Ovis aries: one gene and its partners. The protein of the gene in region 1 interacts with the protein of each later gene in a biochemical or structural test. Links are inferred from orthologs where the notes say so. Each region holds a gene or a part of one and is shown in the gene's direction. Other genes may lie near its edges. The genes, in order: SNTB1, SLC16A7 and FRMPD4.

Evidence for each region.
Region 2: the proteins of SNTB1 (region 1) and SLC16A7 interact in a test that uses a peptide from one of them, tested with the Homo sapiens proteins (2 studies listed by IntAct, with this or other methods). The link is inferred for Ovis aries from reciprocal best matches to the Homo sapiens genes SNTB1 and SLC16A7.
Region 3: the proteins of SNTB1 (region 1) and FRMPD4 interact in a test that uses a peptide from one of them, tested with the Homo sapiens proteins (2 studies listed by IntAct, with this or other methods). The link is inferred for Ovis aries from reciprocal best matches to the Homo sapiens genes SNTB1 and FRMPD4.

Annotation. Positions count from the first base shown.
Region 1 is NC_056062.1:94,868,670-94,878,901, reverse strand, and holds part of SNTB1 (beta-1-syntrophin), read left to right. Parts: intron 1-4,153; coding exon 4,154-4,361; intron 4,362-10,232. UniProt on the Homo sapiens protein: Adapter protein that binds to and probably organizes the subcellular localization of a variety of membrane proteins. May link various receptors to the actin cytoskeleton and the dystrophin glycoprotein complex.
Region 2 is NC_056056.1:160,017,597-160,028,287, reverse strand, and holds the start of SLC16A7 (monocarboxylate transporter 2), read left to right. Parts: upstream 1-5,280; 5' UTR 5,281-5,468; intron 5,469-10,691. UniProt on the Homo sapiens protein: Proton-coupled monocarboxylate symporter. Catalyzes the rapid transport across the plasma membrane of monocarboxylates such as L-lactate, pyruvate and ketone bodies, acetoacetate, beta-hydroxybutyrate and acetate.
Region 3 is NC_056080.1:10,825,197-10,835,428, forward strand, and holds part of FRMPD4 (FERM and PDZ domain-containing protein 4), read left to right. Parts: intron 1-559; coding exon 560-686; intron 687-3,058; coding exon 3,059-3,148; intron 3,149-3,835; coding exon 3,836-4,018; intron 4,019-6,006; coding exon 6,007-6,145; intron 6,146-10,232. UniProt on the Homo sapiens protein: Positive regulator of dendritic spine morphogenesis and density. Required for the maintenance of excitatory synaptic transmission. Binds phosphatidylinositol 4,5-bisphosphate.

The DNA of each region.
Region 1 (10,232 bases):
CTGTGGCGACAGAAATCCTCATAGGGGTTATTTGAAGGGACGTAATGGGAAGGGGAGAGTGTCTGGGACACTTGGAATGTTCTGTTTCTTGGTCTGACTGGTGGTTGACTCGAATGTGTTCCCTTTGTGAAAATACATTTAAGCTACACAGTATAATCTGTGCACTTTTCTATCTATAAGCTGTACTTTAAAAGCTGACTTAAAAGTTAACAGTAAGGATAAATGCTGTCAAAATCTGGGAGAAATGGGCCCCCTCCTCACTAGCCTGTACCTCTGTTTTTATAAACCAACTCTCCTCTGGGTACGCTGGCAACTCAACAAAGAAATATTCTCTTTTTTGCTGGCATCATTTTTGCACATATGTGTGATTCCTGATGAGTGACTGCTTCCCAAGCTGTCATAAAAAAAAAAAAAATCCAGGTCTTCAAAGGAAAATATTCTAAGAGAAATATTTGTGTGTTTTAAATTCCTAGAATAGTGGATATTGATAGAATAATTTGAAAAGCCAGTTGAGCTCTCATTGATACTTTCGGAGAACCCTAGTTTGTGCTTGGCTAGTCAGCTTCACTGAAGAGTAAGACCTTTGGCGGTGGTTGCGGTTTAGTCGCTCAGTCATGTCCGACTCTGGCGACCCCGTGGACTGTAGCCTGCCAGGCTCCTCTCTCCATGGGATTTCCCAGGCAAGAACACTGGAGTGGGTTGTCATTTCCTTCTCCAAAAACTTTGGGAAGGAATGAAAACTCTCCATAGATTGACCAACCATTTCTCTGAAAAATGCCTGAGAGACTTGAGAGTATTTTTCTTCTTGGTAAAGACAAATGTCATTTTAAAAACACCCTGTTTCATCACAGGAAACCTTTGGATTTTTAGTGAGGAGACTTGAAGATTTCTTACTGAAAAAAAAAAAAAAAAGCTAATTATTGCTAAAACTCCCCTAGAGATATTTTACTTTTTAAATCCTCCTTTTTCTGTAATTAAAGTTTATGAGTAAAAAGGGTTACTCACTCTAAAAGGCTGGTTTCAAATGTAAATGAGGCCAGGTTACATTGGGACTTCTGATTTTCAGGTGATCTGCAGAATTGTTGCTTTAAACTCAGGAGCTAAAGAGGACACTGTTGGGCATATTTATTGGTGACGACCCCCCTGGTGGAGTAAATGGCGTCCCACTCTAGCATTCGTGCCTGAAAAATCTCAAGGACCAGGAGCCTGGTGGACTACAGTCCTCGGGGTCGCAGAGAGTCGGACACAGTTGCGAAGCTGAGCACGCACGCATGTTGGTGGTGATGCCTTGGGACAGCTGTGGAACACAACAGATGCACCTTTACTGGGCGCCATCCTGTCTGAAGGAGAGACATCATAATGCAGTGTTTAAGGGCATGGCCTTTTGAGCCTGATTGGCATGGCTTGAATCCCGACGTCACCAGCTTTCTGGCCTTGGGTCGCTCTCTGTCCCACCCAGCTTTGTGGCTGTTCTTCCGTTGCTCGGTTGTGTCCAGCTCTTTGGAACCCTATCGACTGTAGCCTACCAGGCTCTGCTGTCCATGGGTCTCACCAGGCAAGACCACTGTAGTGGCTTGCTATTTGTTCTTCCAGGGGATCTTCCTGACTCAGGGATCGAACCCATATCTTTTGCATCTCCTGCATTAGCAGGCAGATTCTTTATTCCTGGGCCACCTAGGAAGCCCCTTTAATTCTATTATATAAGATGTGAGAGTGAAAGTCGTTCAGTTGTGTCTGACTCTTTGCGACCCCACGGATTATAGAGTCCACGGAATTCTCCAGGCCAGAATACTGGAGTGGGTAGCCTTTCCCTTCTCCAGGGGATATTCCCAACCCAGGGATCGAACCCAGGTCTCCCGCATTGTAGGCAGATTGTTTACCAGCTGAGCCACAAGGGAAGCCCAAGAATACTGGAGTGGGCAGCCGTTCCCTTCTCCAGCGGATCTTCCCGACCCAGAAATTGAACTGGGGTCAGGCTTTCCTGGTGGCTCAGATGGTAAAGTGTCTGACCTCTAGGGGCTGCCGGGGGGAACGCGGGCCTCACTTGTGACCCCTAGGGGCTGCCGGGGGGAACGCGGGCCTCACTTGTGACCCCTAGGGGCAGCTCAGGGGAATGCGGGTGCACTTGTGAGCGCCCCCCAGGGGTGGCTGGGGGAACGCGTAGGGTAATGGAGTGGTTCTGTTCTGTCCCTTGCTTGCAGTGGTGTTTACAGGGATCTACACGTGGTAAACGGGTCCAGCTACACACTTCCACTGTGCCAGGGCCCCGGTTTTGATACCGTATTGTTGTCATTTAGTCACTAAGTTGGGTCTGACTTCTTTGACCCCATGGACTGTAGCCCACCAGGCTGCTCCATGGGATTTCCCAGGCAAGAACACTGGAGTGGATTGCCCTTTCCTCCTCCAGAGGATCTTTCCCACCCAGGAATCGAACCCGCATCTCTTGTTGGCAGGTGGATTCTTTGCCACTGAGACATCTAGGAAGCCCTGACATTATAATATATTACAGCTAAATAAAGTAGAACTATCAGAGTAAACCGAGTGAATAGAATGAGTGAATGGAATGAGTGAGTGAGTGGGTGAGTGGAACTATCAGAGTAAACACAGTGGGTGGTGTCCTGGACGTCTTTGTCCAGATTTTGCAATACTGTGTAAATCTGTAAGTGCTTCACAATAAAAAAATTTAAAAACCAAGAGCATCTGTCAAGAACTTCTGCCTTTTACCATATAATTACAGTATGCAAATCTCATGCTGAATCTCAGGTGATCCCGTTGGAGTTCTTGCATAAACTTTGAAGTTTGACTTTAAATATAACTCTTTGGGAATTTCCTGGTGGTCCAGTGGTTAGGACTCCAAGCTTTCACCACCAGGGGGCTCAGGTTCAATCACTGGTCCAGGAACTAAAATCCCAAAAGCCTCCCAGTGCAGGTTTAAAAAACCAAACCAAACAAAACAACAACAACAAAAAACACATTTTAGTGCATCTCTTTCCCCACTGTTACCTCATCCCCGGCCAGTTCTCTCCTTCATCGCTTGCAGGTTCAGTCGCTCAGCTGTGTCTCTTTGCGACCGCGTGGACTGTAGCCCACCAGCCTCCTCTGTTCATGGGATTCTCCAGGCAAAGATACTGGAGGGGGTTGCCATGCCCTCCTCCAGGGGCTCTTCCTGATCCAGGCATCGAACCTGCATGCCCTCTTAGCAGGTGAATTCGTTACCACTGAGCCAACTGGGAAGCCTTGCGTTACACGTGCACAAAGATGAAGAGGTAGAGAAATGTGCCACAGACAGGATTCCTGAGGAATGCAAAACTCTGGCCGTCTCTGATACTAAAATATTCACAATTAATAATGAACAGTAGAATTAAGCAGGAGGATAGGTATTTCAGTCTACATCCCACCAGCATCTGCTAGGACGCGAGCATATTGTTAAAGTCCTCTGGGGATGGAGAAGTAAGGCAGATTAATATCAGCTCACAGCTTGAAAGTCTTAATATGATGCTGCTAATAAGACACAGCTGAATAACAGGAAGGCCAGGCATCCTTAGTTCAGGTGACTAGATAGCTATGCCCTCAGTAGCTCAGCCAATGCCTCGGCACAGTGTTTGTGGATGAATGAGTGAATGGATGGATGGATGATGAGGCCATTAAGATAAGCCATTCAAAGGAAGCTTAAAGTAAGAATGAAGAATTAGTTCACTTTAGTGGGGAGAGGCGATGTAGGGATAGGAGGGAGGGAAAGGGTTATCATAGGATGATATGAACTCACCTATGTGAAACTTTTGAAAATTGTAAATCACTCTAGAGTTTAAAGACTCTCTTATTCGATTAAAAAATAAATTTAAAAATCTCAGTTGGGGGCTTCCCTGCAGCCCAGTGGTTAGGACTCTGTGCTTCCACTGCTGGGAGTGCCCACTCAATCCCTGGTCAGGGAGCTAAGATTCTGCATGCTTCATGGAGAGGCCAAAAGGGGAAAAGAAACAAGACCCACTGCAAAAAAAAAAAAAAAAAAAAAAACCCTTAATTAAAAAGCTAAAAAAATTAAAAGTAAAATATATGATAGAAAAAAACAAATTAATTCACTTTTGTAGCTCAGGGCTTGAGGAGACAAAATCTGCCAGGGAACCTCCTAACCCTTCTCTCTCTGCTCCTCTAGGCAGCTTGAAATCCACTCTCCAGATGCTAAGCACAGTGTGGTCCTGAGGGCCAAGGACTCCGCCACGGCCCAGGCCTGGTTCAGCGCCATCCACACAACCGTCAGTGACCTGCTGACCCACGTGATCGCCGAGGCCCGCGAGCAGCTGGGCCCGATGGGCCTTGCTGGGGGCCGGGAAATCAGGCACCTTGGCTGGCTCGCAGAAAAGGTAAGGAAACATCCCCCACCCAGGCTTCTTCCCAGCACAAGCTGCAGCCCCTGAAATCAGATGCCTCGTTCCACAGGCTGAGTCTCTCCCTGGGATTTCTTGTCCGTCTCCAGCGGGTCTGCATTATGCAGGAGCTCTGTGTCTTTGGCAACTTTGTTTCCCCACAGACAGTCCAGCATGTGGCAAAATGCAGGTGGTCACTCATTGCCTACTGTCTGGATGCATGAGTGAGCAAGCGGCCGGACAGTTTGGTTCTCATATGTGCATGGGAAGGGGAAGGGCAGGGGAAATAACTCAGACGCGCAATAGAACGGTCTTCTTGGCAGGTAAGGAAGTAGGAATCATTGCTTTAAAAAGAGATTTCTGTGGGTTTTGATGGACCTAACTGTTAACACAGATACTTGGCAAATAAAGCAACTGTAATCTTGCCGGTAAGATCCTACGGACAAAGGAGCTGGGTGGGCTCCAGTCCATAGGGTTGCAGAGTCAGACACGACTGAGCGGTTAACTGCACATACCCATACAATGATGATAATAACAGCGAAGATGTCTTAAGCAACTACTCTGTGCGTGTTCTTCTCAGATATCATCTTTTACTTGTACTCTTAAGCCAGCAGGCTCTCAACGTCATCACTTCTGAGCGCCTGTTTTGTGCAAGGCACAGTGCTAGGCAGGAGGGGACAGGCGTGTAGGCATGAGTACAGGGAGGGCAGCTGCCCTGGAAAGGGCCTGGGGTCATGGTGACACTGTCGCTCTGGTTTCTTTCCCCAAGTGCTGTGATGTGTTGAAGAAGGTAGGGAAACTCACTCTGCAGCAGTCTCCTGGGAGTTAACCATCCTCTTGATTTCAAAGCGTTGAGCCTTTGCCATTGTCCTTACACCTGATCGCTGCTCCTTGAACTTGACCATGAGTGCTCAGGAACAGTGTGCTTTGGGGACAGTCTGACCTCCCAGTGACTCACATTCTAATAGGCGGTAAATTGGAATAATGATTGTTGCAATAACAGCTTTCCTGCCAACGAGCCTGTCATCTGAGAAGGCGCTTGAACAGGGCATTTGGCTGTTTTCCACCATTGTTCTTTGCTTGCTTCATTTCGTGCGTGGGTCCCAGCCACCAACTTCAACACAAAGTGCGTCGTTTGCTGTGGTATTGTCCCATCTCTTGCAGATTGCAGAGGACTAAAGGGCCAGTGCAGGTGGTGGTGACACCAGGATCAGAATGGACAGCAGCCACAGGTGGTGTCTCGTGACCTGACGTGTGAGGCTGCTTGCTGAGAACAGCACTGCAGGTCTGGACGGCAGTGTGTTGGAAGCCACAGCCTCTCACCCTCTGCTCTTCACTCTCTCCAGTCACATGTGTTTGCTTCAGGAGCAGTCCTGTTAGTCTGGGATCTTTCAGTTGCAAGTGACAGAAAGCTCAGATCAGCTTGAGCACAGAAAAGGGGACTAGCACTTCCGATAATGACAGTGTCCAGGGTGAGCGTCAGGCGCCGCAGGATCCAGGGCTCACAGAGGGCCAGCGGGGTCCAGGGGGAGCTTCAGGCACGGCAGGGTCTGGGGGAGCATCAGGCACGGCGGGGTCCAGGGCTCACAGGGGGCCAGCGGGCCTGCCTCCGCATGGCTTGCACTCTCTCCGCTTGCCTGGTTTATACCCTAGCAAGCGTCCCAGGAGTTCCAGGTTTGTCTGGGTGGTTTTTTTGTTTTGTTTTTATAGCTGGCTGCCTCAGTGAAGAGAAGGCTCTTTGCTCCCATATTTCCAACAAAAGTTCTAAGGTCAGCCTTATCCAAACTGTGCCCTGATGGATGAGGAGAGGCAGTTCTGAAATGGAAAATCGGCTACAAGAGCAACCGACAGTTGCTGTAGAAGGGAATGGGGAGGGGTTGATCGGGATGACAAACGTCTTTACTGGGTTAGGTCCAGAGTGGATGCAGGGATGTGCTGTGTGTGTTAGTGTCTGGCAGGAAATGATGGCAAATTCAGAAGGGGTGACTGGACGGGATTTAACATAGCGACAGTTTGTGAGTGTGGCCGAGACAGAGGAAACCAGGAGCTGAATGGTGAGAGGTCACTGCCATCCTTTACCTGGAAGTAGCCAGGAAGAGGAGCTGCTACCTGAAGCTAGCAAGACTTGCAGCTCTGGAAAAGGGCCATTCACTGAGAGCTGTGGTCTCTTAGGAGAGAGACAATCCCCGTGAATCCCTGCCTGCTGATCTCCTACCAGTGTCTGCCCTGGGTTGAGGCTGCCTGGAAGCCAGAGGCAGGAACCACAGGTGCTCAGTTAAGGTCAGCCTCCCTGGGCTCCGAGCAGTGCAGCAGATGGTGGGGCCTGGCTCTGGAGGCAAGGGGAGGCTGTCTAGCACACACATCCCTCCAGCTCGCAAGTAACCGAGATGCTGTCAACTCTAGAAGGTACTGTTCTTTCATCTCTTTTAGCACCAACTACAATTAAAACCATTACCATTTGGATAGTTGAGAAATGGTTATTACATCATCATTAGTAGTGATATTAGCATTTTTTCCAAAGGTTCCATTTTCTTACTTATAAACTGTCTGCTTATGACTTTTGTTTATCCAAAACTATCCGTAGAAACATTAAGCATTCCAATGGAGCAGTCATAAAGGTGCATAAAAAGCTTTCTGTTTTTAGAATATGATTGTTCTTTTGATGTACTTTCAGATCATCAGATGTTTCTTTAAATTGTATCATGCATTATGCTGGTAAGAGCAATCAGTAATGACTTAGCATGGATAATTATCAGAAGGGAGAATGTCTTTTATTGCCTTCATCTTCAAAACTTCTTAAAAGATTACTCTAGATCAAGTCCAAGGGAGCAAATCCAAACTGGAATTTTTTTGAATAAATATTTGATACTGAATCCTGATGTGGAGACATAAGAATGGTTTTTAGCAAAATGTTACAACAAATGGCAAATCCTTAATACTGTGGCTTTCTTGTATTACCACAAATATCAGAGAATTCACTTGGTATTTGTAAAGATATAACAGGTGATCCTATATATATTCAGCTGTAATTTATCTTAAATTGATATCCTTTGTCTTTTCCTATACTGTTAATCTTTGATTTATTTTTTTTTTACTAATAACAGTAGCTCTGGGACAAAGTTTGTACATATTATATTCAATTTCAAGTTTTTAGAACTGGCAATTACTGAACTAAAACAATAGAAAGCAACCAGAGTTTCCCTTCTAAGATTCTTTTCAGTGCAGATCCTCAAGCCTCCTCTTCACCACACAGAAAGAGAACTCTATATTAACATTATTCTTTACAGTGAGATGATCCAGGGACTAGAAGAATGGCTCTCAAGAAATGACCCTGAGTCAGTGGGGAGAACTCAGTCACTCCCCAAGGAGAACGAGCCTGAGAGAAAGGGAGGCGATGGCGCTTGGGGTAAAGGACCCGCCTGCCAGTGCAGGAGATGGAAGAGACGCGGGTTCCGTCCCTGGGTCGGGAAGATCCCCTGGAGGAGGGCACGGCAACCCACTCCAGTATTTTGCCTGGAGAATCCCATGGACAGAGGAGCCTGGCGGGCTATGGTCCATAGGGTCGCAAAGAGTAGGACACGACTGAAGCAACTTACCATGCGGTGGCTCACACTTTGTAGGGAAAGCAGAGCAGAGACTGGCCTAAAGGGGAGTGGGGTTATCCTGAAGGAAAGTGATGAGAAAATCCGGTACCTTGGGTGGCTCCCAATTATGGAAGATCTTGAAAGCGGGACAGACGGTTTAAATCTGATTTGTTGGCCATAGGAAATCTTCGTATATGTAGTCAGAGAGAAGGGAACTTAGAGGTGACTTCTCTGGACTGAATGTTTGTCTCCCCCCAGAATCTGTAGACTGAAGCCCCAATCCCTAAAGCGGTGGATTTGGAGGTGGGGGCGTTGGGAGGTCATGAGGCTTAGATGAAGTCATGGAGATGCGTGGAGCTCCGTGACAGGGTTGGTGTCCTTCTAAGGAGTGAGGACCCAGAGCAATGTCTCCGCCTCACGAAGATGCGTCAGGCAGGGAGGCTTCTCCCAGCCAGGGAGAGGACCCTCACCAGGACCCCGTGCTGGCACCCTGGTCTTGAAGTTGCAGCCTCCACAACTGTGAGCAATGAGGGTTTGTTCTTTCAACCATCCAGTGTGTGATAATGCATTGTAGCAGCCTGAACCGAGAGAGTGATCAGACACGCCTCTTCTTTCTAAAGACGAGGAATCTGGGGCCTGGAAGATGGAAGGCCTCTTATTCACGGTCACACTCTAAATCAGGGCGCAGGACTCAGGAGTGAATGGGATGACGCCATGGTGTCCTTCTCGCCTTTATTTAATTTGTAGAGTCTGGTGCCGCTCTCATCACGGCCCCTTTGTCTCTCCCCTTGGACTCTGGCGGCCATTCTCTGAGCCTGCTGCAGCCAAGGTCAGGCACACCACCCCTCCGAACGGGGCTGCCACCGCGTCCCCTTGATGTTCGTGGGCCTGTGAGCTGTGGGCCGTGTTGACGGGGCCACTGCTCTCCCCGTGGGTGCTCTCATCTGCAGGCGGGCCGGGCGCACCAACAGAAAAGCCTTTCCGCCATCAAGTTAGTCTCAAACCATTTTAACCCCTTGCAAGCCCTGCTTGCCCCCTGAGTGCTCATCTCCACCCTGGACTATAAAACGCATTATGCCCCAGACAAATTTTTTGAATCATCATTCTTTAGGTAGTCTTTTTACAGTTATTATTGAGGTGTCTTTAATGGTCCTATTTCGGACAAAAGAAAAATAAAAGAGAAAATAAAACAATGATTAATAAATAAAGGAAAGATAAACAGAAAAAAATAGAGTTCTGAATATGATTTGTGTTTACACACACACACTCCAACTTGAAAGAACGGAATAAGCGAGTGCGCAGGGGAATCGTTGGTTCTGTTTTTGCTCCGTTAGTCGGGTGTTGTCTTTACTCTCACCTGTTATCTCAGTTTGCAAACTATTTCTTGTCAGGTTTCAAACACAACATGGTTTTTTAAAATTTAAAAAAAAAAAAAACCAGTTGGGAGCTCTGCGATGCAGTTCGGTTCTCAACTTCCCCTCATTGCCATAAAAGTTCCTTTCAAATGGGAATGTTTAGAGGGCTGTGCCTCCCCAGGGTGGTAATGGAGGAGAGGAAGTAAGTTGGTAATTAGTATTTATTATGTGCTTAAGTCTTTCTCAGCCAGAGTGCTTTAAATAATCCCTCTTTCTCAGCCAGAGTGCTTTAAATAATACCTAATCTGCCTGCAAGGCAAGAGACAGGGATTCAGTCCCTGGGTGGGGAAGATCCCCTGGAGAAGGAAATGGCAACCCTGCCAGTATTCTTGCCTGGAGAATCCCCTGGACAGAGGAGCCTGCAGGTTACGGTCCATGGGGTCACGAGAGCTGGACACGACTCAGCCTAGGAGGCAAGCTTGGAGAAGTTAAGGAACTTTCCTAAGATGACTCCTCTAGTAAGAGGCAGGGCCAGAGTTTGAACCCCTCTTTCTAACTCTATGGCAACCCATTCCAGTACTCTTGCCTGGAAAATTCCATGGACGGAGGAGCCTGGTAGGCTACAGTCCATGGGGTCGCAAAGAGTTGGACATGACTGAGTGACTTCACTTCACTTTCTCTTAGGCCAGAACTTTCCACTAAGCTGAGCTAAAGGGACCCAGGGAGCAAGCGTTCACATGAGTGAGACCCCCAGAACCCCAGAACCCATACCAAACGCAAAGTTTCAGAACTAAGAGCCATATCAAAATACTCAGACCCTTTGTTCGCCTCTGTGGAAATAAAGGATGGCTGTCGGTTCAGGCTGCTGCCACAGAATGCCTTTGACTGTCTGGCTTATAAACAGGGGAAACTTCTGTCTCGTGGTTCTG
Region 2 (10,691 bases), on another chromosome or scaffold:
TTGACAAAATTCTTGCCAGGAAAGTTTCTATTACAAAAAATTTTAATCCAAGTTTTAAATTTTATATGCTTTCAGAATAATTAACATATTCATATGAAGACATCTATAATTAAGCTTATACTTAGAATCCACTAAAATTACTTTATACATAACATTAAATGAATTGTAAAATTACGGAAAAAAGGCCAATGCACAGGACTTTAGATGCAGGATCCACTGAGAGATTTTTGGAACCTCAAGAGTTGTTTCTTTTGACAAAAGACCTCTCTGGGCTCCTGTACAGTTATTGAAAGGCACCCCATACAACCATGTCCAATATTATTGTTTTTCCTTTTTTATTCTTTGTAAACTGAGACTAGGTTTGCTTTCTCCACAATTCTACGAAGCTTCCATAGAAGAGATTTCCAAAGTAGCCTATATAGAGGCACTCAAGATACAAATCTACAAGCAGTGGAGTGAGGTCTTTCATATTTTGTACATTGTATGAAACCAGGTCAGAGCAATCATATTCACAGCTGCTCGCCAGCTACAGTCTCTGTCACAGTAGGCTGCCACTGGATGGCAGGTACATGTTCACTTTCGCTTAGGCTGAGGGGAATACTGGGACATTTAGTCTTCTGTCTTTAGTTAAAACCACTCTATTGTGTGTAGTAAACACACATACACACATACCTGTTTTGGTGTCACAGAGTCTTGTCAAGAAAAGGCTGTTGTATATCTAGTTTGGAATCAAGATGAGATTGTGATTATATATATATATGTATATATATATACACACACACACACACACACACACACACACACATAGAAAAAGAAAGAGAGAGAGCCTTGACTTAAGAACACATTAGAGCATTCTTGTAAGCTCAGTGTTTCATTGGGTCATTATGCCTTATGATTTATAATCTTATTAAATAATATCTTCCATTGGTCAGAATAGGCTTGACTCTGTTCTCATGACAAGTCCTGAAATCTCAATGGCTGAACACAACAACAGTTTCTTGTTCACACAGAGTCCAGTGCAAGTCAAGCAGCCTTTCTTTATCGTTAGTGACTCCATGTTGTAGTGAAACATGTCTATCTGAAACATGAGGCTATTTGAGCAGAGAAAGGCAGGGATGAAGGAGAATTACTGGTTCTTAATACTCTTTAGCCAGAAATTATGTAAGCTGCTTTCATTCATACTCTGTTAGATCTAATCCCAATAGAACTGTAAGAGAAACCAGGTTATGTAGTAACATGCAGATCATGGATACGATTAGTGCCAGGAGCCTCTAGCACATGTCTGTTCCAAAAACAGTCACACTATCATCCTTTTCCTCCATTGGGCGAACATTGTTGATTACCTTCTATCTGCAGGAATTTGTGCTGGATGTTAAAAGATTACAGAGAGGAATTAAACGTCATCGCTACTCTCCAGCAGCCTAAAAGACAGGTAGACAGAAAAAAATTACAATATGGCCAACTGTGTAGCAGAAAAAAACTGTCCCAAATAGAGGCATATGCCATGTTCCATGGGAAAGAGCACAGAGGAAGATGGGAATTCATTTTTAGCAGAAGAATCCTTGAAATGCTACAGGTGATGACTTACATGCTGGGCCTTGAAGGGGGAAAAAAAAAAAAGGACTTAGACAAGTTTGATACAGGAAAGAGGGTAGGGAATGAGAAAAGACAGAAAAATTGGAGAAGACAACAGCATGACTGAGGAATGAAGGGGCATAGAATCTGGAATATGAGGTTGTGGGTGTGTAATATAAGTTTGGGCTTTATTAGTTTGCATGTTGTGTATATGTTTATTTGTTCTAGGAATATTTAGTCTATCGCTATCCCTTGTTTCTCCTATTGTTATTTCACCTACGAATAGAAATCAACGCACAAATTTTACCAAAAATATTTCAAGTTCTGATCATAAGATTTGATTTCCCCCTAAGTTGTATTTTTTTCTTAATTTCTGAAGAATATTGAGATTGCAAGTCATAGGAGAAATTGACTGGATTTATTCCTACCTAATACTCTTGCCTGGAAAATCTCATGGACGGAGGAGCCTGGTGTGCTGCAGTCCATGGGGTCGCTGAGAGTTGGACACGACTCAGTGACTTCACTTTCACTTTTCACTTTCAAGCATTGGAGAAGGAAATGGCAACCCACTCCAGTGTTCTTGCCTGGAGAATCCCAGGGACGGGGGAGCCTGGTGGGCTGCCATCTATAGGGTCACACAGAGTCGGACACGACTGAAGCGACTTAGCAGCAGCAGCAGCAATACTCTTCACAGATTCCTCTCTAAGCCAACCAAATATTTACATAGCAGGCCTAGCCATAGCAACAAGGCAATTTAGAAATGAACACCCACATACTAACACTGGGGCATTAGATAAATTGGATCCAGGGTTTTAATTGTTGGAAAAACAAGACTTAAAAAGAAAATTTGCTACAGTTTTGATACAGTGCTTTGAGTAATGATGGTTAAGAGTTTGTAAATGGGTTAAATAGGCCAAGAATATGAGGCCATGAAAAGTACAGGGTGAAAAAGAAATATAGGACAATAAAAGAAAAATCAGAGAGAAGGAAAAGGGTGAATAGGATCTTTCTTTTTCCTTCTCTTCTTTGAAGTAAAATAAAAACCATGAATGAACTAGAAAAATGTCAGTAGTGAACACTCAAGAAAATGACCTTGAAGTATGTATCTTAATGTTTCTTTTTAAAATTTAACATTCTTCCTTGTGAAAATGACGTGTACATTCCATCATTATCTAATGTCTATTATATCTTATCCAAGTGTCAGTTTGCAGATTTTTGTTTGTTTGAAATTAAAGTTCTTTCTTGAATTTCTGCCATAGTTATTTAGTTTCTAAACTACCCTTCTGTGAGCAATACTGTCTTCCCCACTTTTTGATGTTACTAATAACGTTATTTGGAGAAGGCAATGGCACCCCACTCCAGTACTCTTGCCTGGAAAATCCCATGGACGGAGGAGCCTGGTAGGCTGCAGTCCATGGGGTCGCGAAGAGTCGGACACAACTGAGCAACTTCACTTTGACTTTTCACTTTCATGCATTGGAGAAGGAAATGACAACCCATTCCAGTATTCTTGCCTAGAGAATCCCAGGGAAGGGGGAGCCTGGTGGGCTGCCGTCTATGGGGTCGCACAGAGTCGGACAGGACTGAAGTGACTTAGCAGCAGCAGCAGCAATAACGTTATTAACTCATCTTATATTATCTTCCATCAACTTCACATATATCATCTCACCTAAATCTTCCAATAGCAATAAAAAGTTGATTTTGTTACTATTTTGTAATAGTAATAAACTATTAGCAGAAAGTAAAATTCCAGCCTACAGACTAGCTGCGGTAGAAGCAAGGAAATGTGAATTTAGCCAACTACTTAGTTTCCACTTGTAAAATGTGAATAATCTGCCAGCTACAAATTGGCACTTGCCATCTATTGCTACAGGATTAAATCATGAGGTGCTGCAGCTGCTGACCTTCAACACCCCCTTAAAGGAGTTCGGAGTGGAGATCAGGAATGAGACGCTCTGTGCTCTGGAAAAAACTGGCAGAAAAGGCCTTTAGATAGTTAGATATTTTTCAGGAGAAGGTTTTACAAGTCTGATTCTGACATCTTCTCATATCTAGAAAAGAATTAAAACCCTTCATGGTGACCTCTACTCCTCAGTGACTAGCAGCAACCTTCTGCAAAAACATGTGCTGGTTTGCATGTAACCCCACCTCCACCAAAGTCACATAAATACTGACCTTCACCCTGGCTCTTGAGGGCTGTTTCTCAGAGCTATCTGAAATGCTGGCTTCCAGGCTGTAGACCTCATTTTGCCTCAAATTAAACAACTCACAACTCCTATGTGGTGTATTTTTTTCAGCCAACAAATCTAATAGTGTTATTGTATTAATTGGGATAATTCATGTAAGTACCTAGAACAGTGTCTGACAGTGATAAACATTTAATAAATAAGTAATTATCATAATTATTACCATAACATCATTTTGATTCTTTGTCCCTTGGGCTTCAAAACTGCAATTATTTCAATTAAATTATCTTGGCAGTTTAGAAATGATTTAACTCTAGAACAAACAAAAGCTTCTAGTAAGTTACATTTTTTACCTAAGATGAATGCAACATTTTTATATCTTTCATTTTGGGGGGGGAGCAGGAAAGGGGGAGGGTCAGTAATTGATAGAAAAACTGGAAAATGATTTCTCAAATCCAAGACCCTGATTATCCTTCCAGATTCTTTTTCTTTAAGTAATACTTCAACCTTAAAAATATTAGAGGAAGCCAATGTAAATGTTCATTTCCAGCACTTCTTTTTTCCAACTTCCCCCAAAACATGTCTAGACAGGGGGAGGAAACAAAGGTATAAGAAATCAAACCAAGACTGATTTTACCATTATTCCTAGCAGTGTGAGTGTAAGCGAGAGCGTGTGTGTAGCAAATAACTAAGTCCTATTTTGAGGAATTAAATAATTTGAAGGACTTCCCTATCTGTCCTGTGATTAAGACTTCTGCTTCCACTGCACGGGGGGCGTGGTTCTGTCCATGAAGGAACTAAGACCCCCACAGCCCATGTGGCCAATAAATAAATATATATAATTTGAGAAACTAAGACGAAATCATTTACAAATGACTTTCTCTCACTTCTTTCACATTTTCAAGTCCTTTTGTGCTACTCCTCCGCCCTCGGGGTAAAATTTATTTTTCCCTTAGAGTGAGTGAGTGGGTGGATGAACCGAATCTGCATCACCGCAGTGATCCCTCTTCTTGTGCCCCCCCAAAGACTTCAGTTGAAGAATGGCCCAACACTTTAACTGCGAGCTCACAAGGAGACTCAGAGTTCTGTCTCCGTGCCTTGGGCCAGGTTCTCTTTTCGTACGGCTTTCCCTGCCTATAGCTTGCCCTACTGCCCAGCGTACCTACACAAAGGTACCACACACCGGCTCCTAGGTTGTGAGCCAAGTACTTCTAGTAAAGCACGTCCCAACCGTTGTGGAACAACTGTTCGACCAGACTTGTGGCTTTCTCTCAGGGTCAAAAGTAGTCTGCAGTGCAGCGCTCCGAGCCATCGAGTGTCTTTGACAGTCGCCTGGAGCATGCTCAGTCGGCTTGGAGTCACTGGGCTGCAGCCGGCGCCCACCCGCGGCCGCGGGTTCCCGCAAAGCCCCGGGGGATCGCCGCCGCCCTCCCCGGCCACCTCCCCCTCACGGAGCCCTCGCCCTCCTCCTCCCCGTGCCCTCCCCGTCCCTCCCCCGGTGTCGCGGCGCGCGCTCCTCGGCATCCACTAGGGTGCTCAGCCGCCGCGCCTCCCCTCCCCGCCGCCTCCTCCTCCACCTCCGGCGGCGGGCGAGGACTCGTCCAGGGACATAAATAAAAAAATAATTCCATGCACCCTTTGATAGCGAGGCGAACTGGCGGCAGACGGACCGCTGCAGCGCCCACCCAGGGCCGGAGACCAGGTCAAGTAAGTGACACCCCGGGAGGAAACGAGGACTAGGAGGAGGAGGGGACGCTGGCGGAGAGGAAGGCGAGCGCGCGTGTCACCCGAGCTGCCCGGGGAACGGCACGCGCGTGTGAAACTAATGGCCAGTCTGTGACACGCGCGCCAAAGCCAAGTTTGCCCGCGAGCCCTTATATAGACAAAAATCCCCTGAGCGGCCGCCGGAGAGCTCGCGTCACCGAAGCGCGCGCACTGCAACGCGGGACCTGCGGGGGCGCAGTCGGGCGCGGGTTCCGGGCGCGCGCGCGTCGGGGAGGGGAGTCCCCAGGGGTCCAGCGCGGAGAGTGCTCCGCGCCGGCGCGCGCTCCCGGCCTCCAGTGCCCGCACCCGGAGCCCTGGCACCGAGGCTCGCCCGGCGCCGTATCCCGCCCTCCTCGCCCCCGCCCCCTTTCTTGGACGTCTGAGTTTCCCTGGCAGGTTCCCACCTGGCGCTTCTCCGCAGCATCTCGCCCCGTGCCCGCCAGCACACCTGGTGGGCCGGGACTGCGAAGCTGGGTATTGGGCGGGAGTGGGGGTGGGGGTGAGCGTGTATAGGGAGCCTCTTCTTTTAGCAGATGGTCGCACTCAGAGAGGCTGGGAAGAAGGGACGATATACCGGGGTCGGGGTGGGGGTAAGAGTTTTTTTATGTTTTGGGTCCCAGGTAGCCTGGCGGGGGCGAGGCAGAAGGAAAGAAAGGTGTGTAAGGGAGAGACACACCCGGGGACAGAAAAGGAACGTTACTTAACGCGGGCGGAGGAGGGCCTGCGCCTCCCGGCTGTTTTTCCTGGCAGAGCTGTGGCGCCACGCTGGGGGTGCCAGGCCCAGCCAGGTAGCGAGGAGGCTAGTGAGGCGGCTCACGTGTGAACTGCCTCCTCTTTCGGGCGGATGCTGCTTGGGCGGCTACTGTTTCCACCCCATTTTTCTCCCTAACTTCCGCGAAATTGCAGACTGGTCTTGGCAGGGCGGGGTGGGGGAGGATTGTGACCAAGGCCACTTTCCTGGTAGGGCTGAGGAGGGAAATTTGTGATCTACGTCAGGGATGTTAAAATTACACACACAACACACGCAGGAGAGAAAACGTGCGGTTTACTCTACAAGTACCTCTGGTAGTAGTAGTAAAGCTAGTCTGTCCTATCTTCTTTCTCGGGTCTGTTAAGGGGCATAGCAGGGGAGTAAAACCACGAGCAGTGATGAGGGTGGTGCGGAAAAGCGTGGGCGGAAGGAAACAGTGAGCACAAAATGCCCTTTCCTGGCACCCAGTGCGTTATGGTAAATCCAAACTGGGAACTCAGGAGGGTGCAGACTTTCAACGGACCCTTGGCTTGACTGTGCTGTGTCATTGGAATCTCAAGTACTAAGTGCATTTTTGGGGAACTTGGCTGAAAAATTAGAGCTGGGTTCTGGCAGCAGAGACTGATGAGGGTTGAATGAGGTGACCCTTTCATGGCCCTGGTGAGGCAATCTTAGCCCCACTCTCTGCTTCTGAGCACATTGCGTTTAAAGCAATCTAAGCCGGCAACCGAATGATCTCAGTAAAAGGGAAAGATTACTTAGGCAACTCAGTGTGTTGTGTAACAACTCATAAAGTCAGAAATTAGGTGTTTTTTTTGTTGTTTTTTTTTTGCAAAATTCACATCAGCAGTTTGCAATTACGTACTCCCCTCCCCTTTGGCTGTTTCAATAATGGTAAGTGAAGGAACAAAGTAGTGCCCCTTGCTATAAATGTTCAGTTTATTTGTAGACGTGCATTTAGTCTTTTATAATATTTAGCTGATATTTTTGGCCTTGAGCCCTCCTGAAGGGAAAAAGGGCAAAGAAACTTTAAGAAATATACTTTATGGAGAGTTATATTCTTGGGTCATGGATCAGAAGTAAAAGAAGTCTCCTGCGATTGCTTTTCATTATGTATTCATTTATCAAACTTTTTTTTTTTGAGACATTCACATGGAAAAAGGTGATTAACTTTAGAGTTAGACCTGGATTTCAAGCTCAATTCTTCGCTTTTGTAAGACTAAGTAATTATTCAACAATCTTATCCTTAGTTTTTCTTACTCATACAATGAAATTAGTGGTATCTACCCTGAAGTGCTATTGTGAGGAATAAAGTGTACTGAAAACAGCTGAAAAATAAACTAGCCAAGGTGGTCCAGTGATAAAGAATCCACCTTCCAATATAGGGGACACAGATTTGATCCCTGGTCTGGAAGATCCGTATACCTCAGGGCACTGAGTCTGTGCACCACAACTGTTGAGCCCATGTGCTGCAACTACTGAAGCCCACTTGACCTAGAGCCCCTGCTCCTCAACAAGAGAACCCACTGCAATGAGAAGCCTGAACACCGCACTGAAGAGTAGAGCCTGCTCCTGGCAACTACAGAGAGCACCAAAGACCCAGTGTTGCCAAAAGTAAAATATATAAAAATATATTTTGACAAAAATAAAGTAGCTATTTTTGAAACCCTAAAATCACTCCAGACACTGCACTGCGGTTACAAAGATAAATAAGGTTGGAATTCTGCTTTCAAAAATAAACAAAAACAAAAATATCTAGTCATCTGGGCTGATCTTCTTTCTGTCCTCTTTGCTGCTTGTTTCCTTCTCAATGGAAGAAGCATGTTTCTCAAGGAATTTGAAAGGATGTAGCAGTTTTAAGAAATGTAAGATGTGCTAAGAGGCACATGTGAGTAGGGCACCTTGCTTCAGAAACCTGTGTGTCCAGCCCCATCCATTTGCCCGTTGACCCCGTATAAACAAGTAACAGGATTTTCTGTTGTTATGAAGGCAGGACATCCCTTCCCTGAAGAATGTCTTTGCTAATGGATTTCTTTCTTTTCTTTTTTTATTTTAAGGGATTGAGCAGCAAGTTTTTTTCTGCACGTTGGACAGTCTAATCCCCTCACCCTGAGAAGCCCAAGAGTATAGTCACTATAACATTTTCTCTATAATGCTCACCATGTTCTGGGCACTGTCTGTTAACTCCTTTTATCACTTTAACAATCCTCAGAGGAGGATCTATCGATACTCACATTTACAGAAGAGGTGCAAAGTTAAGAAACTTACTCAAAGTGCACAGCTAGCAAGCGGCTGAGTGGGGGGTGTGCCCCCAGGTAGGCTGTCTGACTTTAACCACTGAGTAGTATGGCTTCTGCTGCATGAAGCTGATTGAGGGCAGGGACTTCGTCTATCGTGTTCTTCCTTCCTCGTGCAGTGCCTGGCAGGTGATAGTCCTGAACAACTGATTATAGAAAAAAATGAAGCAAGGAGGGAGGGAGAAACAAAGGAAGAGTGAGCATCCTTTCTTGCCTACAACTCTCAGTCTGGCAGGGAATTCCTCCTGGAACTCTGCCCTGGGGGCAGGATAGTTGAGGATCTTTTTATGATTCCTTTGTTACTTATACTGTGTGAGCACAAGCATAGAAATAACTCAGTATATGGTCTCTGATGAAGCCCCCACAACATTGTAAAGCAGTTATCCTCCAATAAAAAATGAATGTAAAAAATCCAAATCTTTCATATTTGCATTAACTCTTGTTTTAAAAGGTGCAGGGACTTCCCTGGTGGTCCAGTGGCTAAGACTCTGCACTCCCAACGCAGGGGTCTGGGTTCCATCCCTGATCAGGGAACCAGATCCCACGTGCCAGCCAAGTAAATAAATGTTTTATTTAAAAAAACACATGGTAGCTAGTGTCAGGTATTAAATATCTGGCCTTAAGACTAATAGGTTTTTATAAGATTCACTGGCTTATTCTTCTTAACAGATTTTTGGGAAGCCTTTGAAAAGCAAAGTTTCTCAGGAGATGGCATGATAGTGCTGAATTGCAAAATAAACCTTGGAATGAACTCTCATTGAGAGGTCATCATTGTTGACTTTCTCAAAACTATTTGGATCAAAGTATGTAGGAAATGTGTTGAGAAACAACTGCAAACACTAAATCTCTGTGAGTAATAGAACTTTCTTTTAAAAACTTACAGAGAAAGCTTTATTTTCTCAATAGGTCCCTGAAATGGTGACTACAGGGTCCTAATCTACCTACGTGGAAGTTTCACTTGTTTTTATTAACCTTTATTGAAATCCCAGATAAGTTCATGAAAATTTTACAAGGCATTTGGGTAACAACTACAAGATGCTGGTGTAAAGATATTTTTGTTAAAAGTTATGCACAGGTAAGATAGCCCCACAAGAAAATGACTTACTGTGGGGTTTAGTAGGGCTTCCCTGGTGGCTCAGTGGTAAAGTGGTAAAGACTCCATCTGCCAATGCAGGAGATGCGGGTTCATTCCCTAGGTTGGTGGGATGCCCTGGAGTAAGAAATGGCAACCCACTCCGGTGTTCTTGCCTGGGAAATCCCACAGACAGAGGAGCCTGGGGGGCTACAGACCATGGATTTGCCAAAGAGTCAGACATGACTTAGCAACTAAACAACAACAATAATTTGGTTTAGTTATCTGAACTGCTGATTAATTTTTGGTCATGTTTGGAATTAAAACATGGAATTTAATTAAAAATTAAAAATTTCAATGAAAGTATCTAGTATGAATGGTAACACAGAGAAATATTTGTTTAGATAAGTAAAGGTCTGTACAAAATACTGGTATTTTTTAAAAAGTGTTTACATTAAACGTTGGCTGTTTCATACCTAATAGCACAATGACATGTAGTATTATTAATCATCCACACTCCTACACAGTTTCTGATTAGAGCTAATGTATAGAAGAGTTATAAATTATAAGAAGCTGCTCTACTAAGTAATTTATTTGAAGACCTATTTCTTTGGGAACTAGATTAGACGTGAATAAACGGTAAAACCAAAAAGGCATGCATTCGCTTGAGAAGTTTCTAAGGGATGAACTGATTAATAATATTTGCCTGTGTTTGAAATTGATTCTCTAAAATGTCAGAAGCTGAAGTTCTGTCAGTTTTTCTCAAATATACAAAAGGATTCATTCAGTGATGGGCTTCCCTTGTAGCTCAGTTGGTAAAGAATCTGCCTGTAAGGCAAGAGACCCAGTTTTATTGCTGGGTTGGGAAGATACCCTGGAGAAGGAAATGGCAACCCACTCCAGTATTCTTGCCTGGAGAATCCCCTGGACAGAGGAGCCTGGCAGGCTCCACTCTATGGTGTTGCAAGCAGACACAACTAAGCGACTAAACCACCACTACCACAACATTCAGTGATAAACAGTGTTTCTTGACAGGTAACAGTGTT
Region 3 (10,232 bases), on another chromosome or scaffold:
CACCTCAACAAGAACTATTGATGGAAGGAGTTAGATAGACATTATCTGGGTGGGAGAAAAGAGGATTGTGTGTTTCTAAAGAAATCACCATTGGTGAGAGAGATGGGGAGGAAAGAATGGTTTGGAACCATGAAGGAAGTATACTCATCCTTCTAAGGGAATAGAGAAAGACGACCGTGGGCGGACAGGGGGAGGTGACAATGAGAATAAACAAAGGGATGGGGAAAAGTTGTTGGAAGTACAGACTCAGACATGTCAATGAGTTTTAAGAGACTCGGAGGTGTGATGGATAAAGTGTCTCTTCAGTTTCCATTGATCCCAAATGCTCCTTTCTGGACAGTGAGGAATATATTTCTTTTAAAATGCAAACATATGGATTAATGATCAAATAGTATGTTTCCTGAGTGTAAATTAAAGGTTGCTTCCCTAATTGGGGACTTGTCTCCATTCTCTGCCTTCCTAAGAATTCGTTTGTTCCAACAAACATCAGAGCGCCATTTTGTCTTAGATAACTAATCATCACGAGAATGTGGAATTAAAGATCTGCTCTTTATTGCAGAAAAGAATGGGGATTAGAGACTTTTCTTCCCTCTGCTGTGCTGCAAAGCATGAAAGAGAAGAACATAAAGAAAGCACTTTCACACCTTGTCAAAGCAAATCAAAACTTGGTACCACCCGGTAAAAAGGTATCACATTTGCATCTTAATAGAAAATGGATTTTAAAGAGAGAGCTTGCATGCATTTTTTTAAATGTTTAAAATTAGCCCATGAATAAAATACTCAGCACCAGATTTTCAGAAGCTGTAACACTATATAACCTTCTCTTACTTTAACTATTCACATGTTTCTAAGACTAATGAAAAAAAAAGTATTCTTATGGAGACCTCTTTATTCCTTGCACACTATAGACTCCTTATTGTACAGTTTGTGCGCATTCACATGTGCATGCAGGAGAACCTTGCAAAGCCTCTAAGACCTTGGGATTAGAGGACAGAATTGCCAAATAATTTCATATTTTCCTCATAGTTTTGCATACCACTCAGACCAGCTTAAGTGCACAGCAGTCAGTAAGGGTCCCTGCAGACTTGATGCCACATTAATTAAACCGAAGTTTCTCTCCCTTGGCTCTCTTGACATTTGGGATCAGATCATTTTTGGTTGGGGAGAAGGGCTGTCCTGCACACTGTGTGATATTTAGCATTATCTCTGGTCTCTATCCATGAGGTGTCAGCACCCATCCCCTCAATCATGACAAACAAAAATGTCTCCAGATTTTGTCCAAATCATCTCAATTGACAACCACTGACCTGAACTGTACTTTTAGAGAGAAGATAAGTTCAGTTCTGTCACTCACCATCATTAGCGTTAAAATCTTTTGTTTTTTTAATCGAGCAGAAGAAACAGAAAGAACATTTAAAAACATACTGTTGGTCAGAATAGAAAGTTATGTTTATTGGTAATAAAAAGCAAAAGGTTTTAGAAACTAGAGAGAGAAGGAGCCTTATGTAAACTGTAAAACTGAAGGCAGCCTGCCAACCCAAGAACATTTTCTCAATGATATTAGCCATCGATATATGTGTGACTGGAGTACAGATTATTTCTGTGGGTAGTTTCTTGGTCTTAGTATCTGATTTTAAGTCCTTTTTATTGGCTATCACATACTTATTTCTGCTCCTTCATCACCCCAATGACTATTTTTAAACATGTAATCAAGTTCGACACACTACCAGTCACCTTTGACTTACTTCTCAGTTTCCGTAAGTATTCAGCCTATGGAAATATAGTAGGATGTCATGGGTCAAGATGTTCTAAATGTCAGTTCTGATTTGCCCAAAGCTACTTTTCTTTTAATTGACTTGGTGTGATTTTTTTCCCCCAAGCCTAGCCCACTGGTTTTGTAATAATTTGGATAACGGCTCTAAGATTGGTCGATCAATGTCCTTCTATAAAGGTCATTTTTTCTAGTTAAGAGTGAGAGGTTTGCTTTCGCATCAATTTGCAAAGTGCTTTGGATTTTTGAAAGGAGTAGGCTGGATCATTGGTCCTAAATTACAATTATATGAAGGACAGTGCGTTGAGGTACAGTTAACAAATGAGTTGGCAAGTTATCTGCAGTTGAAAACAGAGTTTTACAGCCCTTGCCACTTGATATTCTGCACCTTGTTGGAAAATTTCACCCCTAACAAACTCTTCTGGAACATTTGTTATGAAATGTGGACTTTTTTCTTTCATTTTTTTTAATTTAAGAAAGATTTATTGAAATATAGTTAATCTAAAATGCTTCAAGTATGCAGCAAAGTGATTCAGTTATACGTATATGTGTGTGTATATATATGTTTTCAGTTTCTTTTCCATTATAGATTATTACAAAGATATTAAATATAGTCCCCTATTCTCCACAGTAGGACCATGTTGTTTATCTATTTTATATTTATATAGTAGCTTTATATCATATTTTACATTGAAATGTGGACTTTTTTCAATCAAGTATTTTTTAGGATATGGGAATCTGCATTTTTAAGTCTTCTTAAGGATCAATTTTACTGGATAAAATTTCATTTGTCAATCATTTATGAAACTCGCTAGATTCTTGGAATTACATTACTAGAGACTTAGATAGGAATTTAAAACATTTCCACAATGATGCTCAAAAAGCTCATTTTCCCTAAAATCTTACAAAGACTGGAAGAAACAAGATGGGATGGTAGAGCCTGTTTAAAAGGCTTTCTATGGATTGAAGGTATGTATTCAAAAGAGCTCCCACAAACTCTGCATACCCCATTTCAGTGGAGAATTTTATTATCTTGTTCTGACTTGTTGAATGCCCTGGCTCAGCATATCTATACTTCCCCCCCGCCAATAAAAAAATGTTTAAGCTAGATGTCCTGTTACAGCCCTTGATCAGCTTACTTTGATTCTTCATGAAGAGCCCTTGTCACACCCCATCTGCTGGCAGTAGTAGCATCCTTCTCATTTGCCTTTACTTTCGGCTAGTCTCCAGCAGAAACAAAACCACACCTGATGGAGTGAACACCTGCGGTTTCTTTTCTCTCCTCAGCTCTCTGCACTGCAAGCCAAGGTCCATTATCTCAAGTTCCTCAGTGACCTCCGACTGTATGGGGGCCGTGTGTTCAAGGCAACATTAGTGGTAATTTCTTTTTCTTGCTTTTTTGTGGAAGTCACAGAAGCCTTCAAAATATCACTGCCTAGGCTGTCTTGAATGAGCTGCCTTTGATGACAAAAGCAAATCAGCTGTGAATCTTTTCCAGCCCTCATTTCTAATTGACTGCACCCTAGTCTGAAAATATCAGAAGAAATGTTAAGCTAGATAACACCACTGCAGAATGCCCCAGAAAAGGAAATATGAAGAGCTGAGAGAATTGGTGCACTCTCACAATGGCCTCCTTTTAAATCATTGGGCCAGAATGATTTGAAAAAGAAAAAAAAATCCTCATTTCTGATAGCCTCTCATGATAATGAATATGCATGCTATGATAACATTTACTTCCTACATTATTCATAATTTATCAGAGCCTTGCTGTAATCATATATCTGGTTCTTCTAATTGGATGATTTAGTACAATATAACCTGGGAATACTTTCTAAAGAAAATGTAATCTTAGAAAAACAGACTCTCAGGTTCAACTATGCCTGGTGCTTCAGAGCATTTTCATTGTTATTTTATTTATTTATTTGTTTTGGCCACATCATGAAAATTGCAGAATCTTAGTTCCCCAACCAGGGACGGAACCTGGACCACGGGCAGTGAAAGCATGGACCAGGGAATTGCCAGAGGTCTGGTATTTTTAAAATTTTGTGGACATGTCTTTCTCAGCAGGCAGAAAAGCGCTCAGAAGTGACCCTCTTGGTGGGACCTCGCTATGGCATAAGCCATGTCATAAACACCAAAACCAATCTGGTGGCTCTTTTAGCTGACTTCAGCCATGTCAACAGGATCGAGATGTTTACTGAAGAGGAGAGCTTGGTGAGGGTGGAGCTCCATGTGCTGGACGTGAAGGTAAGTCTTTCAGATATTGACATATGACCTTGCTTCCTGATAGTGCTTCTGATATTTACAAAGCAAGCAAAATTTCAATCTGTGCAGCCCATCAGTGGTGAAATGGGTAAAGAAAAAATCCACTCAACTCAGACATGAGGGCTCCAGTCCTCACTAGACGGCTCTGTGATTAGGGGACAAGTCCCTTTCTTTCTCTGAGCTCCATCTCTTCAGCTCTATATGAGAAAGCAAATGAGTTTGGGTCCAAGGTCCTGTCTGGCTCCAGAGTGATGGGGAGTAGGGGAAATGTTTCCCTGCTTACTTTCTAGAATATGTGGTTCTTATGTAGAGAGTCAGGGAGAGTCTTCTCAACTTTGTTTAGATTCGCCATTCCCTTTTTGATGTAGCATGCATATGTGCTCATTCTTTTGGAAAGACTAAGTATTTCAGTCAATCTGTCTTTTCACGCTGTAGCAATTAGTGGTGGCCGAACATCTGGCCCCTTGAATATCATGGCCATTTCACTGGAAACAGCCATCTGAGTTTGTCCTCAGAGGGCAGACATTTCCTCCCCAAACAGAAGTTGACAGGAAGCAATCCAGGTCCCCTGTCCCCGCCGTCTTGTCCCAGTCATAGATGAGTCATTGGATTTGGGCAGCATTAATGTATGAGACGTTTCTGTAGAGAAAAGGCCCAGTGACTCCACAGAGGAAACAGGTTGAACCGTGAGAAGTCGTGTTCTGAGAATGGGGGAAGGACCCACTCCCAGCTTCACCCCGACCCCCAGTGCTGTGGGAGGGGCAGATTAAGAGTAGAGGAGAACGTGGAAATGGGCTTCTACACAACAGAAGGGACTTGTCAAGGGAGAGCGTGGAGCTCAGGCATGCCGACCATGGCCCATGGTGTTTCATGGGCTGAATCCAGGGCACTGCACTTGACTTCATGGCAACGAATGTCCAAGGGGAGACTTGGCACACCTGTCCTGGTCCCTGACCAAAGATGCTAAGAGCAATGTAGCCTGTCATGTAAAAGGGGCAGAAGAATGCGTGTATCGGGCGCAGTCATCACAGACCTGATAACAGGGAAAATCCATCTCAAACAGAAGGAGGTGACAGGACCCTGTGGATGGGTTCCTGTTTATATAAAAGAATTGCAGGGCTGCTTGGAGGGAGACTGCCATTGAAATGGAAGGAAAAGGCAGCAAGTCGAGTTGATCAGGGCCTTGGGGCGGAAGTTAGGTTTCATCACCCAAGGCTACCGTCCTGGCCAGTGTCCTGCCCCTGGCAGTGAAAGCAAGGGACCTGTCATCTCGCTGCTTCTGTGCCTCTCCGGTTGCCTGCTTTTTTCTTGCTCCCTTATTTTCCTCTCACTTTCTCTCTTTTTCAACAAGAACACACCAGCATATCCACCCTTCCTTTCTCAATGAGGATAGTTGCTTCCCCGTATGCCCAAGATCCTCGGCCAATTATGTTTCCAGAAAGTTGGGGCAAGGCCTTTTCTCAAATCCTATGTCTATTTTCCCCTCCCTGTGAATTTACAGTTTCTTTTAGAAGTATCCTTTTCCTGGATCTCTTCAACACTTTTCATTCAGTCTTAACAGTAATTTCCACTTGATTTTTACTTCAATTCAACACAAATTTTCACCATGAACCCAAACTTAGTCTTCCTGTGATTTTTTTTCAGATAGTGAATTCGTATCTGTTAACTGACTCCGTACCTGTGACTTTTAAAAAGATTAACGATTTGAAACAAAACCAGTGTTATTTGTTTTAACCCAAGATAACTTGGAAAAGACTCCAAATGTCTAGACTTTCAAAATGGTGTCACCTGAACTTTTTTCACTCAGGCTCTCTGTTATGCCTGACCTTTCCCTCATTTGTGTTTCTCCAATGAAACAGTCACTCCAAAAGTTCGTTTGTTCACATTTCATAAACACAAATGTCACTGTTGTCACTTGAGGAAGGTTATTAAGGGGGAATGTTTTAACCAAAGTGTTCTCTTCTGTGTAGCCCATCACGCTCCTGATGGAGTCTTCAGACGCCATGAACCTGGCCTGCTTAACGGCTGGATACTACCGTCTGCTTGTGGATTCCAGGAGGTCAATATTTAACATGGCCAACAAGAAAAATGCAGGGACCCAGGACACAGGTATTCTCTTCCCAAACTCAGGAGGCACCGACCTCCCTTCCCCATGCCAACTGACAACAGTAATAAGGATGTTTCCTTTTAAGGAGAGATGAGAAGATTTAATCATTATAGACGTACAGGCTAATATAGGAAGAGAGAGAAGTAAAGGATTCCATATTTTGAGACCAGACAATGTATTGCTGATATAAACTAGGGGTGAGTTAGCACTGCAGAAGCAAAATCTAGTATGACAAAGCAATCTGGTACAATGTTGTTGTTGTGGTTTGAATTATTAAAAAGAATGATCTAAGACATGTTGACCAAACTTGTTTACTTTAAAGTGATTAATATTTCAAAAAATAATAAAGTAAGGATATTTCTTGAAAAATTAAAAAGTAGACCCATAAAAGCATCTAAGGTCCAAATTTAACACAAAAACATCCAAATACTTCTGATATGTTCTAATATTTTTTTAATGAAAATGTTGATTTTTTTTTTTTAATCACATTTTACATGGGGCTTCCCTTGTGGCTCAGCTGATAAAGAATCTGCCTACAATGTGAGAGGCCTGGGTTCGATCCCTGGGTTGGGAAGATCCCCTGGAGAAGGGAACGACTACCCACTCCAGTATCTGGCCTGTAGAATTCCATGGACTGTGTAGCGTCGTTCCATGGACACAGCTGAGCGACTTTCACTTTCTTTCACATGTCATTTGGCAAATATGGTACCTAGCTCCAAAGTGGAGAAGGCAATGGCACCCCACTCCAGTACTCTTGCCTGGAGAATCCCATGGACAGAGGAGCCTGGTAGGCTGCAGTCCATGAGGTCGCTGAGAGTTGGACATGACTGAGCAACATCACTTTCCCTTTTTACTTTCATGCATTGGAGAAGGAAATGGCAACCCACTCCAGTGTTCTTGCCTGGAGAATCCCAGGGACGGGGGAGCCTCGTGGGCTGCCATCTATGGGGTCGCACAGAGTCGGACACGACTGAAGCGACTTAGCAGCAGCAGCTCCAAAGCAGTGATTTAATTATTGTGAAGGGTGTAGGTCTCAGCCTTTCTGTCTGATTTTTAACTGCCTCATTCTCCCAGAGCTAAGTCAGGGTGCAGAGAATTCAGGATGGAATGCCCAGTAGTTGTGAGCCTCCAAATTTATAAGCAGCTGACCCCTCATTAAGGAGCCCTACATCCAGACGCCAAGTGCCTCCTCCCACGTCAGACTCATGTCCAGGGTTCTGGGACTTCTATCTTGGGAAGACATAGAAATTGTCCAACCCCTGGACTTGGGGCTCTAGAAGGGACCCTGGACATCATATTACCTTTTTAGCAGAAGCATCAAAATGGCAAAAATCAAATAATTCATCTCAGCCCTTTGACAAGAAGAAATAGCCCCAAAAGTGCAGATAAGGGGGGTTGTAGCTGTTAAACTGAGAGTTTCTTTGAGGGAAGATGGTTTTCATTTATTCTAGAACTGTTTTCTGAAATTTATTTTATTAGAGTATAGTTGATTTACAGTGTTGTGTTAATTTCCCCTGTACAGCAAAGTTATTCAGTTATACATATATCTGTGTGTGTGTGTATACATTCTTTTCACATTCTTTTCCTTTATGGTTTATCCCACAATATTGAATATAGTTCCCTGTGCTGTACAGTAGGACCTTATTGTTTATCCATTCTATATATAATAGTTTGCATATTTTTCTTCAGTGTTTGAACTTTTCCTCTATCTATAGTGGAAAGTCAGTAAATGTGGCTGATGACAGAGCCTACCATTCAAGTCAGAGATACTGAGCCATGAAAAATGTATAATTAGAGGCTCCATAATTAGAGTTATTTTAAAAGAAAAGGAAATTCTGGGAGAACAAATTCCATTGTCAGTTTTTGAAAGAAAATGGAAGAGAAAAGAAAGGAAGGAACATCTACTTTTAAACTTATCAGGAAACAAAAATTATTATTCCCTGAAAATATAGTAATATGCAGCTAGGCACACATATAGATAGGCTGGTACACAGTTTATTGTGACAGCTTGTTGAGTGGAAAAAGTTACAGTCAAAGGGTAAAGGAAAACCAGAGAGTTGAGCAAGGCATGATGGAAGGTGACTGGGACTTTCAGCCAGATTTCATCCCAACCCACCTTGAAGTGTCTGTTTGATTAAAAATACATTGAATCAAAGAGGAGGTGGATGTGTGTGCTGGGTTCAGTGGTGAATATCTTTATGACCACATGCTTTCATTGAGCAAGGAGATTTAGAGCAATTGAACTGTGACTTTTGAAATTACAAAGAGCAGTTCCACAATTTAACATATTTCTTTTGTGTTGGAAAATCTTAAAATCCTAAAGTGTATTGTTAAAATCAAACCTTTTCCCCATGGACAGTTAAGATTATATGGCTGCAAGAGGAAAGCCAAAGCTACCATTCTACAGATGGTTACAGTAATAGGGGCCTCAGTTCTGTCCAATTTATAGCAACTCACAATGTGTTATTGAATAAAGTTTCATGAGGCAAAAACTTAGTTCCAAAAAGTATCATATCACCATCGGGAAATAATGGGGCTTCAACCTTTTGGTCATTTCTCTTGGTTCGACAGTGAGCCTGAGGGTGAGGGCACATGTTCCGAATAGCACACACAAGCCTGCATGTATGCATGCACGTGTTTAATAAGAGAGGACGAGGGAGAGAGATGGCACACTCCAAAAAGCAACTAACTGGTTGACCCAAGCAGAGCTGCAGCTCGGAGCTCAGCTTCCTCTAATGGCTGAAAAGCCTCCCTTCTCTTCAGAAATTCCTCCAACGATCTCCTGAGACTCAAAAAACTGTAGAGTCTGAAGTCTGTTAAGGCCAGCTCATCTTAGGAGACATCCTTCTGTGTCTCCTAGATCATTCCAGAAGCCGAATCAGGACACCCTTCTAGAAGAAAGCCGAGAGAGTGTGTGTGTTTTCTTCTTGTCTCAAACTGATCAAAGACCTTCATCAAGACCTCTAGCTAGGAACAGTAAACCCCTCTTTCTTCTTCACTGTCTTGAAAATTAACCCTTCAAGTACTTTGCAAATCCCTGAACTTATGTAGTTAAGCATCTCTGGACCTTAGGAAAGTCTTATTAAATTGCTTTTAGCCTGCTGACCTATTCAGTTTTCTTGTTGGTCTAAACCAGGGGTCAGCAAACCATGGCCCGTGGATCAAGTCGTGTTCTTGTGAATGAAATTTTATTAAAACTCAGGCATGTACATTGTATTAAATATCTAGAGTAGCCGTAACAAATTACCAAAAGCTTGAGGACTTAACAGAAACTTGTTCTCTCACAGTTTGAGGGGCTAGAGGTTCAAAACCCAAGCACTGGCAGGGTTAGGCCCCCTCCAGAGATTCTAGGGGAGAATCTTGTTTTGCCTCTTCCGGCTCCGAGTAGCCATCTGCATTCCTTGTAGCTGCATGACTGCAGTGTCTGCCTCCATCTTCACTCAGCCTCCCCCCTCTTCTATGTATGGCCCAAGTGTGCCTCTGCTTTTCTCTTATAAGGACACTTTCCATTGGAGTTAGGGTCCCACACAGATAATTCCAGGTGATCTCATCTCAAGATCCTTACTTATATCTGCAAAGACTCCTTTCAAATAAGGTCACATTCATAATTTTTGCAGGGTCGCCATTGAGTCACTGCATCTGTTTGCTTATTTGTCAGCTATGGCTCCTTTCATGTTACAACAGTTGAGTAGTTGCTGAATGGAGCTGTTGACCCCACAAAACCTATAATATTTACTCTCTGGCCCTCCCTTTACAGAAAAAAATCTGCCAACCCTTGGGTTTAAACCCAGAGCTCTCTTACATCCTTGCTCAACCACTCTCCCTCCCCACAACAACCTGCACTAGTCACACACACACACACACACACACACACACACACACACACACACACACACACACACACTCTCACACACAGAGCCAGTCATAATTCATGTCATTGTTAATAAAACAATGCTGAACCCCCACAGGTGTATTTATTATTAGGTCATATGTAAATATGCCTGTTGTGTAACTCAGTGTCTTCAAATTTTATCTTTATTTGGTATTCATGAAAATATCATTTATGAAAATACTGAGTGAAATGACTTG